2 linked regions of the Drosophila melanogaster genome follow. The protein of the gene in region 1 purifies or fractionates together with the protein of each later gene. This does not show direct contact. Each region holds a gene or a part of one and is shown on either strand. Other genes may lie near its edges.

The links. Proteins that work in one complex are often made in the same cells at the same time.
Region 2: the proteins of Ilp1 (region 1) and Sdr purify together in Drosophila melanogaster (affinity purification with western blotting, with the first as the bait; one study listed by BioGRID). This does not show direct contact.

The regions. Positions count from the first base shown.
Region 1 is NT_037436.4:9,796,641-9,799,580, reverse strand, and holds Ilp1 (Insulin-like peptide 1), read right to left. Parts: upstream 1,162-2,940; 5' UTR 1,148-1,161; coding exon 683-1,147; 3' UTR 531-682; downstream 1-530. Other genes in the region: CG32052 (uncharacterized protein), read right to left, coding at 335-410; Zasp67 (Z band alternatively spliced PDZ-motif protein 67), read left to right, coding at 2,055-2,153. UniProt on the Drosophila melanogaster protein: Possible ligand of InR/insulin-like receptor.
Region 2 is NT_033777.3:14,916,702-14,923,615, reverse strand, and holds Sdr (secreted decoy of InR), read right to left. Parts: upstream 4,989-6,914; 5' UTR 4,739-4,988; coding exon 4,187-4,738; intron 4,109-4,186; coding exon 3,571-4,108; intron 3,513-3,570; coding exon 3,365-3,512; intron 3,304-3,364; coding exon 2,908-3,303; intron 2,845-2,907; coding exon 2,628-2,844; intron 2,576-2,627; coding exon 2,319-2,575; intron 2,249-2,318; coding exon 1,750-2,248; 3' UTR 533-1,749; downstream 1-532.

The DNA of each region.
Region 1 (2,940 bases):
TGTTATCCTCAAAAGTCAGGTTGTCAAATTGTGTTAGGATGCGATGAGTGCATTCCGGAGTTGGCTCTTCTCTCTAACGCCTGGCTAAACTCATTCAATGTCAAAGCTGACTTATGCAAATGGCTATTGGAAAATTGTGGGTGGTTTTTGGGTGGCTGTGTTTGGGAGAAGAAGGGCTTTGTGGGCGTTTTGCTGTCAGCCAATTAAACAATTTATGTATAAACAGCCAGGCCGTACTAAGCCCTGCATTTATGAATACCAAATAAGTCCTTGGTCTTAAAGTTACCTCGCCTTTACAGCCCGTTTGCCTCTACCATTTCTACCCTATACTTACCAATCCGCGCCTGGGCGCCCGGCAGGCCGGAGTAGGCCAACAAGAACCCGAGCCAGCTGATTGGAGCCAGCAGCATCCTGGCAACGAATTACGCCTCCTTGGTACTTTTCCTTTGACTGTCTTGTCTTTGCCGCTCACACAAATTCTTCTTTTTGCACTGTCTACTTTTATTCATTAGTCAAAGTTGGTGCTGCATAAATAAGTGATTACGAATTGGATTACGAATGCTGTTAGGAGAACGGGTGTACATATAGTATGTATGTGGGAATGCCATGTTCAAGTGTTCGTATGTATGTATGTATGTGTATGCATGCTGGGTAATGAATGTGTGTGTGTTGGCCAAGTGTCCTATTTCGGTAGACAGTAGATGGCTAACTCCAAGTAGCTGCAGGTCTTGACGCAGCACTCGTCGTAGACGCCACCGGTCAGGTGTCTCCTGTGGCGACGCATCTTGATCAGGACCTCGGATCCGTACAGATTGGTTAGCAGTGGACTAAAAGAGTATCCTGCCCCGTCCAGTGTCTGCCACATGCTGCTATCATCCTGCACCTCCTGCTCCGTGTCCTCGTCGTCGTCGCTGTTGCCCAGCAAGCTTTCACGTTTCCTTGGCAGCGTATTAAAGCCATGGGGACACACCACATCCATGGCATCGGACAGTGCGGGGCCGCAGAGTTTGTGGTTTCCGGGGGGCAGCAACTGGTGACCACTGCCAGTCGGCGTGACCATTGCCATTGCAGCGGTGAGCATGGCTGCGATGAGCAGCGACTGGAGCCGAAGGCCATGTACTGCTGCACCGTTGTGCTGGCTAAACATCTTGGATATGCAGTGAATGCTCTGGGCTGCAACTGGTATTTATACCACTAAATCGGAAGCGCTAGCTAATGCAGTTCAATGGCCTCTTCTGCAGTCTAGCATTGCAGTGGCATAGCAAGCCCCACGGGCGTACAAACTGCAAATCCTTTGATCACCCATGTTTCAGGTACCGTTTTTCCCCTAAAAATGCAAACTCTATTTCTAGCTCTACTCCCCAATTTGGATGGAAAAGCGATGCACTGTTGTTTTGGTAGTTGGGGTATTGTATTGTATTTCTTAGCAAATATCAGTTGTATCATTACCTATATCTATCTATACCAATAGTTTGGAATGTATTTGTAAGACATTTTTAAGATATTCAGAAGAGTTAGCCTTATGGGACTTGCTCTAAAGTGTGAATTGATGCACACAGCTTTATCGAGCATAGTTTTCAGTGTAATCACCGCCAAAAAATCCGCCCACTTCAAAGCATAACCCGTTCGCCCAACCTGTTACATTGCCGCTAAGAGGCTCTGACTGCTGTCGATTGCGATTACGATTACGACCAGATATCTGTGGGGCATGGGGATAAGGGGTATGTGGGCCGATGGCTGACAGTGTGGCAGCCTCATTAGCATGTCGTGGCCAGGAGGAAAGTATGCTTCGATGAAGCTCCTCCGGCGGCAGTGTGCGAAATCGCTTCGATCACCATCATCGCCATCGCCATGGCCACTCGATTGTCGAGTTGCACGCACGGCGATGCCAACAGTTGGTTGCCAGCGCTGCACTCGAAACACTCGCTTCTTCCCACCGACCGCAAAGTGCCGGAAAAGCTAGAAAAAAAGCAAAAAAAAAAGTGGAAGAAAATTCGCGATAGAAAACGGAAAAATCGAAACGAACAAAAAAAGTCGGAATAAATCAAGGAAACATGGTGCTCGACATTAAGATGTGCCGATTTGATAATGTGCCCTGGGGCTTTCGCCTGGTGGGCGGGGCGGACTACGATTATCCGCTGACGGTGGTTAAGGTTAGGCCCGATTCGAAAAAAGAACGAAATCTATATGCTGCAACCCCCACCCCCCCACGCATCACCTCAGCCCATTCACCTGGCGGATGTTCATAGACCAGTGGAAAATATTGCTCACTATGCAGCTGATGAATCACATTGGATTAATTCGATACGATACGTTCGAATCAGTTTTATTTGTTCGATTGCAATATTACGTAACGCCGCGATGCGTGTGTGTCCATTCGGATTTGCTGCATTGGCAAATTAGTTAATTAAAGTAATTCCTCTCGCTTTTGTTTATCTAATCGACAGGGCCATACATTTCCCGCTAATGAGCCGCATAATGGCAGCGGCAATAAACTTATTCAAATTTTAATTGTGTTTCGCTGGCAGTTGGTCCTTTGTTTGTGCATAAATTGCATTTGGCAATTCGCATTTTGTAACATTGTGTTGACAATTCGCAACCAGCAACAATAACAAAAATACAATACATACAATACTATAGCATCGTCGTAAATCCGAAACAAATGCGATTTTTAATTGGCAAACTGCTAAGCGCATAAAACAAATGACCGAAATGCGAGGGGCGCTAAAAAATCCCATCCCTTCGATACGAATAAATCAATTTAAGCCGCAGAGTCAAGGAAGGGAGGTCATAAATTGTTTTTGACTTTTTGGTTATTTTTTTTTTACCGTTTTACATAAACAAATTATGCTATGGGTTATTTTAAATTCCGATCAATTTATAAAATGTTTGTGCTTTGGGATATGCATACCATGAAAAAATGGAAGTTTATTGTAAATG
Region 2 (6,914 bases), on another chromosome or scaffold:
GACGGACGGGCGGACCAACGGGCGGACGGAGGAACTGCTAAACTGACGCACTGACATCGACGAACCGCACCCAAAGTGCTTGGCCCGGCAAGTGCATAGATAACAAACGAGTGCAAGGATAACGAGGCTACACGGCAAGGACTACGTTTGCAACCACAGCTACAGCTGCTACTACAACTGCGTCTATGGCAACGGAAATAACGCGAAAAATGGTGCAACAGCAAAGGGCGAAGAGGAGGGGACAGTGAAATATTGAAATACAATTGGTTTAGGATAAGATCACACACAGCCCCATATCTCTTCCTTCCTCCACTTAAAGACGGCGCCAAAGGATGTGGCATAAGTGGTTTCCAGCTGCCCAGCATTTTGCTTTAAGTCCAGCCAGTTGATTTAAATGGCTACATCAAAAATTGAAAAAGAGATTAGTTACACTCAGTAGGTTGAATAAGGTTTGCCAGCGGGTATTAGCTCACTAAAAAGAAACTCTAGCTTAGACTAACAAATATGATAAACTTGAGTATTTTTAAAGGGAATTTTATTGTAGACAATGAAATGTTATACCTTTTATTGATTGGCTTTCAATTGCAGTATATTATATATGACCTAAATTTGTGCTAGTGAGTTTCTTGCAGTGAAGCTTCCAAAGTACGCGAAGGGATAGTCGCCAAGTTACCCCCTTTGGAGTACTTCACTCGCGACCTCTAAGGTAGTTAAATTGCGCGTCAGTGTCAGCGGCAGAATTGAAATCCTTTTCCTCTGCAGGCACTCTGAGCGTCCTTAGCTTCCCGCATCCCGCTCACCCCTCGCCGCTCATACTTAGTCCTGCGTCAATCACGAACCGCTTTTCCCCATTGAGTGGGACACGTTTTCATGGAACTTTTCCAGCTGCGCCGAAAACTTGGCCACAAACAAGGCGACACATGACACGTACTCGACTTGACTCCACTCCACACCGAAAGCAAAAGCATCGTCTCGACCTAGTCCCTTTCCGCCCAGTTTTCGATGGTGGGGATTAGTTCTAGTTTTTGTCAGTGTTTTAAAGTTTAAAGCTCTTTTGCGGCATATTTGCATATTAAGTGGCATGCGTTGGAAGTTCCAGGCAGCCTGCTGTTGTTAGTTTCGCCTAGGCTTATGCCATGGCCAATCTCGAGAGAAAGGTAACCGCTTTCCGGGCCAAGTTGAGGATCTCAGGAATCACTGCTGTCAGTGAGGGTTTTTCCCTTTGAACGGTTTCTGGCTCTGGCACACATTGCAAGGACGTGCGGCTAAGTCTGATAAGCTGATAAGTCAAATTAGCACTGATGAAAACATTTGCTCGCTTGTCGAGGATTTGTTTGGCATTTACACATTTACAATACATTTGGAGGAACTACAGTCACTTGACTTACAATACTTAGTTGGGCCCATATGACACGGCTTACACATTACATTACATTTTAACAATTGATTCAAGTAAAAAGCATTAAAGCTGTTCAGTCTAATTATAATCAAAGTTAAAAACCGAAAAATATTAAAAAAAAAAATTAATTCCAAATAGTAAAACTACGACATATATAGTCTGGAAAAATAAGAGGTCCAGCGGTCCTTCTATGTCAAGTTTTTTAGAACAATAAATACAGATATAGTAAATGTTAAACACGTTGATTTAGGTTGATATTGCATCAAGTTTTCAACATGCCTATCGTCATATGGGTCTAGCATTTATCACTTGTCAGCGGATACAGAAAGTCTGCGATCGAGGATTCTCTGCTAAACACCCTTGATGAATCGCTCCAGTTGGATGCTTGCAGTCTTGATTACAGCTTCCGCCGGAGTTGAGCATCCGTTGACCACGCCCTCGACGCAAGCCCGTATGGTGATCCGGTAATGGGTTTCCGGCTCCAACTGGGAGAGGCAGTAAAAGTGCTGGGTGCCCGGAAGTTCGTAGCCACTCAAGGGCTCCTCAGCCACGCATTTTTCCTCCACTTGCTGGACCACGGATGCGTGGGAGTTTTGGCACTTGGGCAAGGCATGTCGGATGGTATACTTGTGCTGGTCCAAGTCCTGAAGATCCCGCTGCTTCTTCTCGCTATTCAGGCGATAATTCTCATAGTTAATTGCGGCCAATCTCTCCTTAGCCAATGTTGCATTTGTAGGAGCAGGAGTGGTTGTGGGCGGTCTGGTGGGCTCTTCATCCTTCTTTATGGACAACAGGTGCTCATAGTTAATCACTTTTTCGAACTCCTTTCTGCGATAGTCGTGATTGCGCCTATAGATGGTATAATATTGTATATTATTTCAATTGAAACTTCAAAGAAAACCATATTTTCTTGTCTTACGAAACATAAATGAGATTGGGCAACGCATCCTCGTAGGTGATTTGCTCTTTGTTGTAGTAATCCTCGTCATCTGGCTGAGGACCTGAATAGTAGGGCAGTACACCAGCGCACTCACAATCGATGTCTTTAGCATTTTCCAACTCAACATTCACATAATTTTTGTCCTTTGCTTCCTTGGTAGCATTGTACTTTTCGGCGGTCACAAAATAATTTTTAATGACTCCATTTGGACGCCTCGGTGGCCACCAGTGAAGAAGCTGGAAATGAACAAGTTTTTAAGCTGAGAGATATATTTTGAAAAGTACTTACAATCTGGGAACTGATTTCCGAACTGCCATATATTCGGAGCACAGGACTTGGCCTATCCGGTAGCGTCTGGAAGTAGCCGATTTTTGAGTAGGCATCTATCTGAATATGATATTCGGTTCTGGTGAGGGTCTTCACGAAATACGCATACTGTGTGTAGGGCTTCAGACCGCTTATCACATGACGTCGACTCTGGTTGGGCACAACGTCCATCAGCCAGCTGGAAAATTATAAACAGAATCACTGTAGGTAAACTTGGTGAGGGCGAGGAGTCCACACCCACTTGTCATGACCGCAACCATGCCGACCATCGTACATAGTCACGTTTTGCACCGGGGCTTCCTTGTAGTGATACGAATATCCTATTAGCGTTTCCATACCCTCCCAGTCCATGTAGTCCAGGATGATGCGTACCGCAGTGGAATTTAGGTCCTCCACTTTGGGATTGAGGGAGCGCACCGCGTCGCCACAAATCACGCGTTCGCCGTTCGAATTGGGGGATACATCTGCCACGGATATATTCTCTCCGCTTTTCAGGGAGCCCTGTAGCTGATGGATTTTCTCGTAGCACAGGCGGGGATTCAGGTGAAAGAATAGTGTACCGCGCTGAATGATCACCAGGTGATTGGGTGGCCAAATGTGCTCCAAATGGTAGTTATTCACTACATACAGGGCGTATCTGAAAATGAGATAAATAATATTATTAGAATTTCAATACAATCCTTGCCTCTCAAACTAACTTGTTTTCCACCAGCTTATCCCCTCTTATGGCATCCAAATTCTGAAGAAATGTGAGCGACATCAGCTGTGCAGAGTGTATGACCTTCAGATACCCAGTGATCTCTTTAACACTGGCCAACGCATTTTCCAAGGCATCTACAATTTTTTCTGGAAAATGTATTATGTAAGTAAATTATACAGATATCATATATGATATGAAACACACCTTTAATATTGGTGAGTTCGATGGTAAGTGAACCATTGATCGTCACACAGTCTTGTAAAACTTCCAGGTCGGCAGCACTCTTCACGTGAAAATCGCCGTTGCACTCCACCTGGCAGTGGATGATGCCCTTGGCGACCAAAATCTCTTTCTGGTTTCCCGGACACTTTTTCACACACTGATAGCCGCGTATCAGGGGAATCCTTCCCAATTCCCGGCACTCCCTGTGACCGATGCACCTCCTCTTGTTTAATTCATAGCTGGCGACACACTGATTGACACATCCCATTCTTCCCTGGTAGTTTGCACAAAGGGAGCAGTTTTGGGAATAGCAACCAGTTACACAGTTGTGATCACAACATTTGCCCGCACTATCACATCCGTTTAGGCCACATGCAATGGGGCAGTCCTTAAGTCTGGGCGGTTGGGGGCGAAGTTGTGTCGTATTCACGTTCCAGCAGCGCTCCGAGGAGTTCCGGATGAACTCGAAGTCCGCTGACAGGCTACCACACAAAGGGCACTGACTTTGCGGTCTGTTGTGCTATGGTTAATAAAAAAGTTATTTATCCAATATTTGCTTAATATCAAGGAACATATGCCCAAGTATATCTTCACTCACTTTAAGGGAAAAGTGCTGCCGAGTGGCATTGCCCATTAGATATATCCAATCGACGGTTTCCACGAAGCACAGCAAGGGATTCGATTCGACGCGAATGAATCCGCTCTGGATGCGCAATAACTCCACCAGGCCGAGCTCCCTGAGATTGCGATTCTCGTAGACCACCAGGGAGTACTGATCAAAGAGGAGCTCCTGCCCACGAATGATACGCAGCCGTGGGAATATCGACTGCAGGCTGATCAGACCCGTGCAGCGATACACCATTAGGTAGTCACTGATCTCGGTCACATTGCTGGCCAGCGAATCCAGGCTGTAGTTGCCGGATACATCCGTCAGATCCACATAGGCCAGTCGAACGTGACCCACCACATGAGTACAGTTCTGCAGTTTCCGCAGGTCCGCAATCTTATTTATCTCCAACGATCCGCAGGCGGTTTGATCATCGGAACTGGCCAAAACCGGCGATGAGGCGCCCAAAAACAGCAGTATCAACGGAACTGCGATCGAGATGGGGATCGGAAGGGGGTTGGGAACGGGGTGCAGATGCCCCATGCTGCCACCTGACACTTCCAATTGAGAGCACTTGACCCGGGCGTTAAGGGGGCTTCCAATGGATCAATTAGCGCGCCCGCTTGAATGTCAATGTCGTTTTTCTCGCACGATCGATCGGTTGAACTATATATTTTTTTAAATATTTTTTCCGCTTTTGAAGAGAGCTGCGTTCGCGGCAACGATTCGATTTGGACTGATGGCATTCGATTCGAACAGCGTTCTGTGCTTTCGATCTCTTTAATTAGCCTCTTCTTTCGGCATTCACTTTGTTTTGTTTTGTTTGGTTTTGTTTCACACTGTTATTTCTTTTTTATGCGCTCGTCTTCGTTCTCTAAACCCTTCGGCTACACCAGCGGAAAATCGTGTAGTGTTCATAAAACTATTCAAATTTGTCGACATTTATAAGAACCTAAAAATGTATGCAAAGCGAACATATTTAGTAACCTTTTTCTTAAGCAAAATATCTTTTAAGCAGATTTCCAAAATTATTACAATAATAAAATATTTAGCATATTGTTTGATAGAGCCAATTCTAATATAAATATCTAAATATCTTCAAAAACCAGAACTATTTTTTCGACTCGGTGTATAAAAACTGCTCAAGAATGAAAATCAAAGGTGGTGGCTGTTGTGAGAGAAGAAGACTGATGATTCGATGGGGAGCAGTCTGGTAATATTTACGTTAATGAAAGTAAACATTTCGTAAAACAATATCGTAAAATAATATACTTGCCGGTCTTGCTATTTGTTTGTTTCTAGTTTTCTCAATCAAATTTAAACCCCCTAATGCCCTTTTGCAGTCAATTAAAAAAGTGATATACGAAACTTAAAATTAAGATTAAGAGTACCATGATAATTCGTATGATCTTTTACGGTTTTTGATAGATCGATTTGTGGAGCTACAAATGAAATTCAAAAACTGGAAACCCTTTTTGAAATTCTTGGCACGCCACTGTTTCATTTTGTTGGGGAGCGATTATTTTACGCATCTGTTACCTTTCACGTTTTTCTCATTGTCGTTTCCTTGTTGCCGTCAGCCGAAAAACACTTGTTACTTCTGCAACCGCCACAGCCCCTTGCCACGCCCCCACTCCCCATGTGACCTTGCAACCATTTGCAAACCGGTTGGATCCTCTTCCCCCTTCCTCCTTAGCTACCTTCCCCTTAGCCACCTACCGGCGTTCTTTACCTTTTTCCCCAGAGTGCATGTCTTTGCCTTTTGTTTTTGCATTTGCGCAGAAATTAAATTGCACCGGCGAACAATTCAATTAGAGTGAATGCAAAAAAACAGTGAAAATAAGAGCGAAAATGGTGGGAGGGGGTGAACCAAAGCTCCAATCCAATTGGTAGAGTAGTGAGCATTGAACAACGCGCAATTGGCAGTTCATTAAGGTGCAAGTAACGCTCAATGGAATCGGAAAAAGAATTTTCTAAATTTAGTCAGATGCCAATTGAATACGCAGCTTGAATGATTGTTCAATAACAAAAAAATAGATAATATATTTATGTGTTAAATACAATAGCAATAGAAATCTATAAATAATTTGCGCAAAATTGTGCCCCGTTGTTTTAGATATTTTAATGGGCAAACCACATAAAAACGCACGAAATAATTTCAAATTTTCACTTTGTTATTATAGGGTATATCTTTAGTGTAGTACTTTGAATATATCATTACATATGTAACAGCGGATAAAATCTGCCTAATTCACCCCAGGATAATTATTTAGTTATTATATCTATTCCAAAAATTATTTTAAACATAATAATTTATGTTACCGTCGCGATAATCCATTCAAAATTAGTTAATAATTGATAAAACCATCATCAATGGTCAATATAGGCAGTAATTTATTATTATTATTTATCATAAAACGTTATTTTTAGCTTTAAATATGCTTAAAGCCAACTTCTATTTCTAAAAACAAAACTGCCATAAACTGTATCTTTTTTTAACGAGTGCAAAATGCACAAATTCACGCAAAATCACCAGCTGCACCCACATAAAAAATCGCAGTAAACGTGTGAAAAAACCACACAGGCATAACTATCAATGATTTTTTCGTTAGCTGATGTGCTCTTTTTCTCCGTTTTCCCGCCACCCGCCTGTGAATCAATTTTCGCAGTAATTTGCAGAGCCTGCGCTGATGTGAAACGCGCGGAATTTAATGCAGCA